Linked DNA regions of Pelodiscus sinensis. The protein of the gene in region 1 purifies or fractionates together with the protein of each later gene. This does not show direct contact. Links are inferred from orthologs where the notes say so. Each region holds a gene or a part of one and is shown in the gene's direction. Other genes may lie near its edges.

Region 1 (3,906 bases):
AGGTTCCCACAATTGATGGAAAGAACATAAAAACAGCCATACTGGGTCAGACCAATGGTCCATCTAGCAGAGTATCCTGTTTGCCGACAGTGGCCAATACCAAATGCCCCAGAGGGAGGGAACACTCCCATTACCCACCTCCAGAGAAACAGAGGCTTAGGACACCATCCCTACCCATCCTGGCTAATAACCAGGGCTCACCGAACCACGGCGAGCCCCGCTCGCCAGCCGCGCTGTCTGGTGATCTGCGCATGTGCAGATTGCCCGAACCCAGCTCTTCCAGGTTACAATCTACTCGCTCCGGGCGAGCGGACTGCATTATTTGTTGAGCGCTGCTAATAGCCATTGATGGACCTAACCTCCATGAATCTATCTAGCTCTTTTTTGAACCGTGTTATAATCCTAGTCATCATCTGGCGAGGAGTTCCACAGGTTGACTGAGCGCTGTGTGAAGAAAAACCTCCTTTGGTTTGTTTTAAGCCTGTTGCCTGTCCATGTCACTTGGTGACCCGTAGTTCTTAGGCCAGGTTTATAAACTGTCCCTTCCGACTGAGCACAGCTCCCCCACCCGATATGTGGGGAAGAAGTCCCCGTCCCGGCGCGCAGGGAGGAAGAGAACTCCCCTTGAGCCAGCCGGTATTGAGCCGGGTCTCGAGGCAACGGACTATGGCTAGGGGAATGCGCGCGCTGCGAGGGGTGGGGGGACGGCGAAGGGCGGTTAAACCGCCACGCCGGGTGCAAGTGAGGGGGCCGCTCTTACCCGCTGCGGGGCCGCGTTCCCTCCATGCCGGCCCTTCCGGCCGCTGCGGCTCCGGCGATCAGGCGTCGCGCCTCGCGGGCGAGGAAGAAGCGAGCACCGCCCCTCTGCGTCATAAGAGCGCGACTCCGCGGGCGGCCCGGGGACTACATATCCCGGCATGCAACGGGGCACGGCTCGCCTGGGAGACGACGAGTCCCAGCCCGCACTTGAGGCCGCGCGGCAGGCTGGGGCTTGTAGTCCCGCTCCCCCGCCTCGGGCCCGGACGAGGGGCGGGGCTCAAAGCTTGAGGCAGTGGCCGGGCGGAGGTGACGGAGACAGCGAGGCAAGGGCGGACCGGCCCCTCCCCCGGTGTTTGCTCCCGCCCGGCCGCGCCGCGCTGAGGTGAGCGGCGAAGGCGGGAGCGGCGGGGGAGGAGCCTCGGGCGTCCCCGGAGCTGCCGGCGGGACGGGGAGGGGGCGTGGCCCTGCCAGGCCGTTAAAACGTGGGCGAGGAGCCAGGGGCGGGGCCGTTCCCCTCACGTCGCTCTCCGGGGACCACCCTTCCCCCCCCCCCCTCCCCCCCCGTTTCGCGGTGCCCGACGTAGCCGCGCGTGGAGCTTTGCGGGCTCCCGTGGCCAGGCCCATCCCCCAGCCGGGACCGCCCCCCCCCCCCCCCCGCAGCCCCGAGTGTAGCCCTGCCCCTCCCCCACGCCGCCTGCCCTCTGTGGCCCCGGAGGCTGAGGGGGGGGGGTGTCTGCACGGCCGCATTTGCAGAGCGCCCCCCCCCCCCCCCATACAGTCACTCAGAGCACGGGCCCTGCCTTCCAGAGGTGGCAGGTAGCCACCACGTGAGCTAAAGTAGCAGGAGCGGTGGGGGTGGGAACTCAGCTCTGAGAGTCAGGGCCCAAGGCTGTGTCCAGACTCAGGGGTTTTTTCGAAAAAAGTAGCCTTTTTTCGAAAAAAACTTCACCTGCGTCTAGACTGCAGCCGCGTTCTTTCGAAATTAAATCGAAAGAACGCGGCTTTTCTTTCGACGGTGGTAAACCTAATTCCACGAGGAAGAACGCCTTCTTTTGAAAGTGCTCTTTCGAAAGAAGGTGTTCTTGACAGCAAACAGGCTTTTTAGAAAGAAAGCATCCAGACTCACTGGGTGCTTTCTTTTGAAAAAGCGGCTTGCTTTTTTGAAATTCCGCATGCAGTCTAGACGTGCTCTTTCGAAAGAGGCTCTTTCGAAAGAAGCTTGCCATCTAGACATAGCCCAAGTGACTTGCCTCAAGTCCCAAAGGAAATCTGCAAGGGAACTAGCCCTAAAACCCAGAATTCCCCTGCAGGGCTTTATGGTTAAAACAATCCTTCCTCCAGATTTCAGTTGCAGCAGTCACTGCTTATTTAGCTGAGTCTAAGAGAAAATGAAAGTTCCATATATGCTCTCTCCTTGGTGCAGCCTGTGCATCTCACCTACCCCCGGGACTGCAGTTGGACCTCCCTGCTCTGCAGGTCCTCCGTGCCCCACAGCTTCTCCGTCCACAACCCCTTACCTCCTTGCAGTTTTGGTCTTTATTTATAAAACTAAACAACTGTTTAAGACATTCAGAATAATCAATGAGCAGCCTGTTAGTGGCAATGATTTACAATGGACTTTACACATTCACACTGTGTCTACACTGGTGCGATCTTGCGCAAAAGCTCCCGCTTTTGCACAAAAACTTGCTGCCTGTCTACACTGGCTGCGAGTTCTTGCGCAAGAACACTGATGTTCTAATGTGTGAAATCAGTGCTTCTTGCGCAGGAACTATGATGCTCCCACTCAGGAATAAGCCCTCTTGCGCAACTGTTCTTGCGCAAGAGGCCAGTGTAGACAGGCAACATGAATTTCTTGCGCAAGAAAGCCTGATGGTTAAAAGGGCCATCAGAGCTTTCTTGCGCAAAAGAACGTCTACACTGGCATGGCTGCTCTTGCAAAAGCACATCTCTTGCGCAAAGGCACATGCCAGTGTAAACGCTTTCTTCTGGAAGAGTTTTTGCACAAGAACTCGTCCTCAAAAGAGTTCTTGCACAAAATCATGCCAGTGTAGACGTAGCCTCGAAGTCGTTACTGGTATTGGGTTTCCCAGAGGCATCCATTTGGATAGGGATGTCACTTTCTCCTCACTTCAATCCCTTTGTGTGTGAAGCCTGAAAGAAGTCAGCTAATCCATTTGCTTTCCACTCATGCACCATCCATAGACTCAGAGGAAGCTTAAGAACATCAAAGTCATGATAACAAAACAAAAGAAACCCAGAGATTTGAAAAGAGAGCACTGGATCCTGGGAGAAAACGGGCCAGGGCCCCATCACTTTTAAAAGTAGCTATGTTTTCTCATTTTTTACTGGTTATAAGGGTAAGCAAGAAGAGAAAGGGATCAGAGAAGATAGGGCAATTAGACCTTGCACGGTTGATTTTAGAGCAGTGAAACTATGTTCCTGGCCTCTGGGAGATGTCCCACAGTGCCCCACTGTGATCTCTCTGGACAGTACTTTCAACTCTGCTGCTCTCCAGGTGCACGGGAAAAAAGCCCAGGAAAGTTTGAATTTCATTTTCTGTTTGGCCAGTGTGGCGAGCAGACACTCAGAGCTGGCAGCACCCCTCATCAGCACACCTGGCCATGAATGCCCAGGGTTGCAAATAAGCTCCAATATGAAGCATTGAAGAGATCCTGAACCTCATTGCTGTGAAGAATCTGTTCAGGGAGAACTATAAAGTAGTAAAAGAAACACTTATATCTTTGCCATGATCACAAAGGGCATGATGGAAAAAGAATACGCCAGCATGCTGTGTGAAAATAAAGAAGCCCAGGAAAGTGTACCAGAAGACAAAGAAGGCAAACGAACATTCTGGATCATCGCTGCAAACATGCCGCTTCTATGAGCGTCTGCATGGGATTTTAGGGGGGGACCCAACCAGTGTCCCCACCCAGTGTGTGGATTTCTCCCGAGAGACTCTTCGTGCAGCCTTAGGCAACAGCAGGGAGGACATTGTGGATGAGGAAAAGGAGCAGAATGGTCAGCAGGCGAGTGGCACTTCCAACATCACTGACAACCCTTTTATAACTTTGAAGACAGTGCCTTGCCCCCAGGACATATTGCTGCCAGGCCCTGATGGCAGGGATGGCACTTCTGGTGAGTTCA
Region 2 (3,906 bases), on another chromosome or scaffold:
GCCGGTTAGTGTGTGCTGTGTCCCTGAGGGATGGGCAGCGCTGTGGGGTCGGTTAGTGTGTGCTGTGCCCCTGAGGGATGGGCAGCGCTGTGGGGTCGGTTAGTGTGTGCTGTGTCCTGAGGGATGGGCAGCGCTGTGGGGTCGGTTAGTGTGTGCTGTGTCCCTGAGGGATGGGCAGCGCTGTGGGGCCGGTTAGTGTGTGCTGTGTCCCTGAGGGATGGGCAGCGCTGTGGGGTCGGTTAGTGTGTGCTGTGCCCTGAGGGATGGGCAGCGCTGTGGGGTCGGTTAGTGTGTGCTGTGTCCCTGAGGGATGGGCAGCGCTGTGGGGTCGGTTAGTGTGTGCTGTGCCCTGAGGGATGGGCAGCGCTGTGGGGTCGGTTAGTGTGTGCTGTGCCCTGATGGATGGGCAGCGCTGTGGGGCCGGTTAGTGTGTGCTGTGCCCTGAGGGATGGGCAGTGCTGTGGGGCCGGTTAGTGTGTGCTGTGTCCTGAGGGATGGGCAGTGCCGTGGGGTCGGTTAGTGTGTGCTGTGCCCTGAGGGATGGGCAGCGCTGTGGGGCCGGTTAGTGTGTGCTGTGTCCCTGAGGGATGGGCAGCGCTGTGGGGTCGGTTAGTGTGTGCTGTGCCCTGAGGGATGGGCAGCGCTGTGGGGTCGGTTAGTGTGTGCTGTGTCCCTGAGGGATGGGCAGCGCTGTGGGGCCGGTTAGTGTGTGCTGTGCCCTGAGGGATGGGCAGCGCTGTGGGGCCGGTTAGTGTGTGCTGTGCCCTGAGGGATGGGCAGCGCTGTGGGGCCGGTTAGTGTGTGCTGTGTCCCTGAGGGATGGGCAGCGCTGCGGGGCCGGTTAGTGTGTGCTGTGTCCTGAGGGATGGGCAGCGCTGCGGGGCCGGTTCGTTGCGCTGAGGGGCAGGATGCCGGAGGCCGGGTCTGTGTGTACCCCGCAGGGTGAGTGCTACGTGTGCTGTGGCCGGAGAGGGTCCGAGGACGGTCACTGCGCGCTGGGCCCGTGGGCGGCGGGGGCGGTGCTGTGGGCGGGAGGGTTTAGTGCCGAGGGTGGGGGCGGCCATTGTGTTTGCGCTACCAGCATAGCAGTGGTGCGGGGCTAAGCGTGTCCAAGGGCCGTTCCCAACCGAGTTTATTGGCAGACCCGTTCCGGTTGCTAAGCGCCGGTTCCGGTCGCGCAGTCGCGGCGCGGGGTACAGTTGGGAGCGGCCGCGGCTGCCAGGCAGGCGGTGCCTACACCGGGCGCGTTTGTTCCGCCGCGCCGCCAGGGGCAGCAGAGCGGCTGCGGTAGGGAGTCGGGCGCAGGCCGCCGCAGCTGCAGGGCGCTGAAGGGCCGCTGCGCAGCACCGTGGGGCGGGGGAGGGAGCGAGCGACAGACCGTCAGGCGAGCGCCTCGCGTCGTGTACCTCCTCCAGAGCCGCTAGGGTGGGAGCGGGCTCAGCCGGCAAGGTCCCGCTGGAGACGCCAACGACCTGTCTCCCGGCCGCAGACACGACCCCAAGAAGAGGGAGGCACCCGCCACCAGGCCCAGTCCGCGCCGAGCGAAGGTACAGTCACGCTGCCGCCGCGAGTCCCGGCTGGCCTTTGCCGCCGAGCGCGGGCCTGGGCTGGCGGCGGATTGCGGCCGTGGAGCCCTTAGGGCCTGAAGGCGGTAGTGTCTGGAGCCTCCCCCCACTTTACGTCCCGCGGGCCTGTGATGGGGGATGCTAGTGTGAAACCTCCCCCCCCCCCCCGACCCCTCGGGAAGAGAAGAAGGCTCCTGTTGAACTTTGCTCCTGCCTCCCCAGGCCCCGTGGCGGGGAGAGGGAGAGGCTGGGGTGAAGGTCTCTGTGGTCTTTCTCTTCCTCAGTACTTGAGTGAGGAACTTCCCCTGTGGGTAGAGCTGGGTTATCTGGAAACTGTCTCTACTTTCGCCTCCCCCACATCAGGGTAGGCCCTTTCTCTGTAGGGCAGGCCTAGACTCTTGGTCTCTGCTCGAGACAATTCTGTGTCTTCGGCTTGACAAATATTTAGGGGGAGGGCTTCCATGCTTCACTAGCTGCTTCTGCTGCTCTTGGGTTGATGTTGACACGCATTGTTTCCTCTTTAGAGCTGGGGTTTGAACAGACTTCCTGTTACAAAACCGGCAGAGACAAAAATCTGCTTGTCAGTGTCTTGAGAGGGGAAAAAGATCTGCCTTAATGAGAGGAGGATGTACTTCACCTTTTCAGCTGTGGAGAATGAATTGTAGTCTGACTAAAGAGAAATTAATGGCCTTGCTAGTGAGTTGATCTCCCAGGGCAGTAATGATGAGGAAAAAGAATAGAGTAAGTGACTTCACCTTTGCAAAATTGCAGCACACAGTAGCCCAGAGTAGGTCAATATACAAAAGATAAATGAGGCCTTTCAGTAATTGGGCTGTTTTAATCTGTATAATTAACAAGCCCAGTACCTGGTTTTTTTAGTTGCTTTGTACTGAAATAGTAAATAGTGGGGTAGAATTTGGGAATGCCAACAAGGATGGTGACTAGGAAGGGTCAAAGCCCCTCTGCTCCTGACACATTACATAATTTTTTTGCCTAGGGCTGATAGAGTTCACCCTCTGTTTTAGACCCCTCCCCAAAACAGAACCCATGATTAAGGTTGAGAATTACCTTTGGTTAGAATGCTCAGTCCCTTGCAAATTAACAGATTAGAATCTAGGGTCACATCTAGACTTGTGGGAAGATTGACACTGCCGCGGTTGAGCTTCTGTTGTTCTATTTAGTAGGTCTAGTAAAGACCTGCTAAATCGAATGCTGAGGATGTCCCTGTCGGTGCCATTTCTCCCATTGACCTCTTGCTGTGGGAATAGTGCTGAAGTTTGGCTTAAGGTACAGCAACTCATAGTTGAAATTGAGTACCTTAAGATGACCTTCCCCCGTAGTATAGACCTGGCCTAGGACATTTCATTATAAGTTTATTTTAGATTTTAGCAGTTTGTAAATGAGAGGCTTTTAGTGGTGATATAGCTTTGTGCACATCTTGAATTGCTTTGTGTGTGTAGATTGGTTTTAGGTCTATTTTGAAGAGGATGAATGACAGCTAATGTTGTTTATATTTAATTTGTATGCTGCCTTTCATTCTGAAGGTTCCCCAAATGCTTTACAAATGTAACAAATTGATATATAAACTATAACAGGGACCACTTCATCCATCACTGAAATGGAACCACTTCTGGGATGTAAAACGGCTACTGTTTAACAACGCTCAGCAACACTGCACAACAGTTTAGGATGGAACTGAAGAAGAATACTGTTTCCAAATGAAACCACAGGGAGAATTTTAGGTAGGCAAACTAATTATCTAAGTTAGAATTTGGTTAGGAGGACTGCACAACATTTGCCCCTATTTCGGTTACATGCTTTTTTATCTTTATATTACAGGAGACTGACTCTCAAATATTGTATATATATATAAAATTTTCCAATGTGACACAATTGCCAGTACTAGGGCCTGATCATACAAATTTACTTATATGCATAGTCCTCATAGGACTCAATGCAGGAATAACTCTGGATGTGAAAATAACTTGGCAGGATTGGGCTATCACTTAGCAAAGGGCTCCCATAAAATCTAATGTGACCTAACATTTTTGTGAAGGGACTATTTTCTCTTGTTTTGTCAGAGATTACATTTTGATTTTAACTCATTTTTATTTTTATGAAAAATAGTAATCTAGTTGTAATTTATTTAAAACTTGTATTTTACCTGAAGAAAATATGTTAGTTAACACATCCGGTGCATGGGAAAAGATTAAACTTTACCACTTTTCAATTTCTTTAAGACAAGAGACTTATTCTTTTAAAAATAATTATATAAAATGTGGCTCTAAAAAGGTACTTTGCCTTTAAAAACAAAATATTTGAAAATTAATATTTTTTTACT

What was found.
Region 2: the proteins of STRADB (region 1) and CAB39 purify together in Homo sapiens (affinity purification with mass spectrometry; 3 studies listed by BioGRID and IntAct, counting the BioPlex papers as one, with this or other methods). This does not show direct contact. The link is inferred for Pelodiscus sinensis from reciprocal best matches to the Homo sapiens genes STRADB and CAB39.

The regions. Positions count from the first base shown.
Region 1 is NC_134717.1:57,073,225-57,077,130, forward strand, and holds the start of STRADB (STE20-related kinase adapter protein beta), read left to right. Parts: upstream 1-1,006; 5' UTR 1,007-1,141; intron 1,142-1,518; exon of another isoform or gene 1,519-3,897; intron 3,898-3,906. UniProt on the Homo sapiens protein: Pseudokinase which, in complex with CAB39/MO25 (CAB39/MO25alpha or CAB39L/MO25beta), binds to and activates STK11/LKB1.
Region 2 is NC_134720.1:9,966,975-9,970,880, reverse strand, and holds the start of CAB39 (calcium-binding protein 39), read left to right. Parts: upstream 1-1,182; 5' UTR 1,183-1,547; intron 1,548-3,160; 5' UTR 3,161-3,307; intron 3,308-3,906. UniProt on the Homo sapiens protein: Component of a complex that binds and activates STK11/LKB1. In the complex, required to stabilize the interaction between CAB39/MO25 (CAB39/MO25alpha or CAB39L/MO25beta) and STK11/LKB1.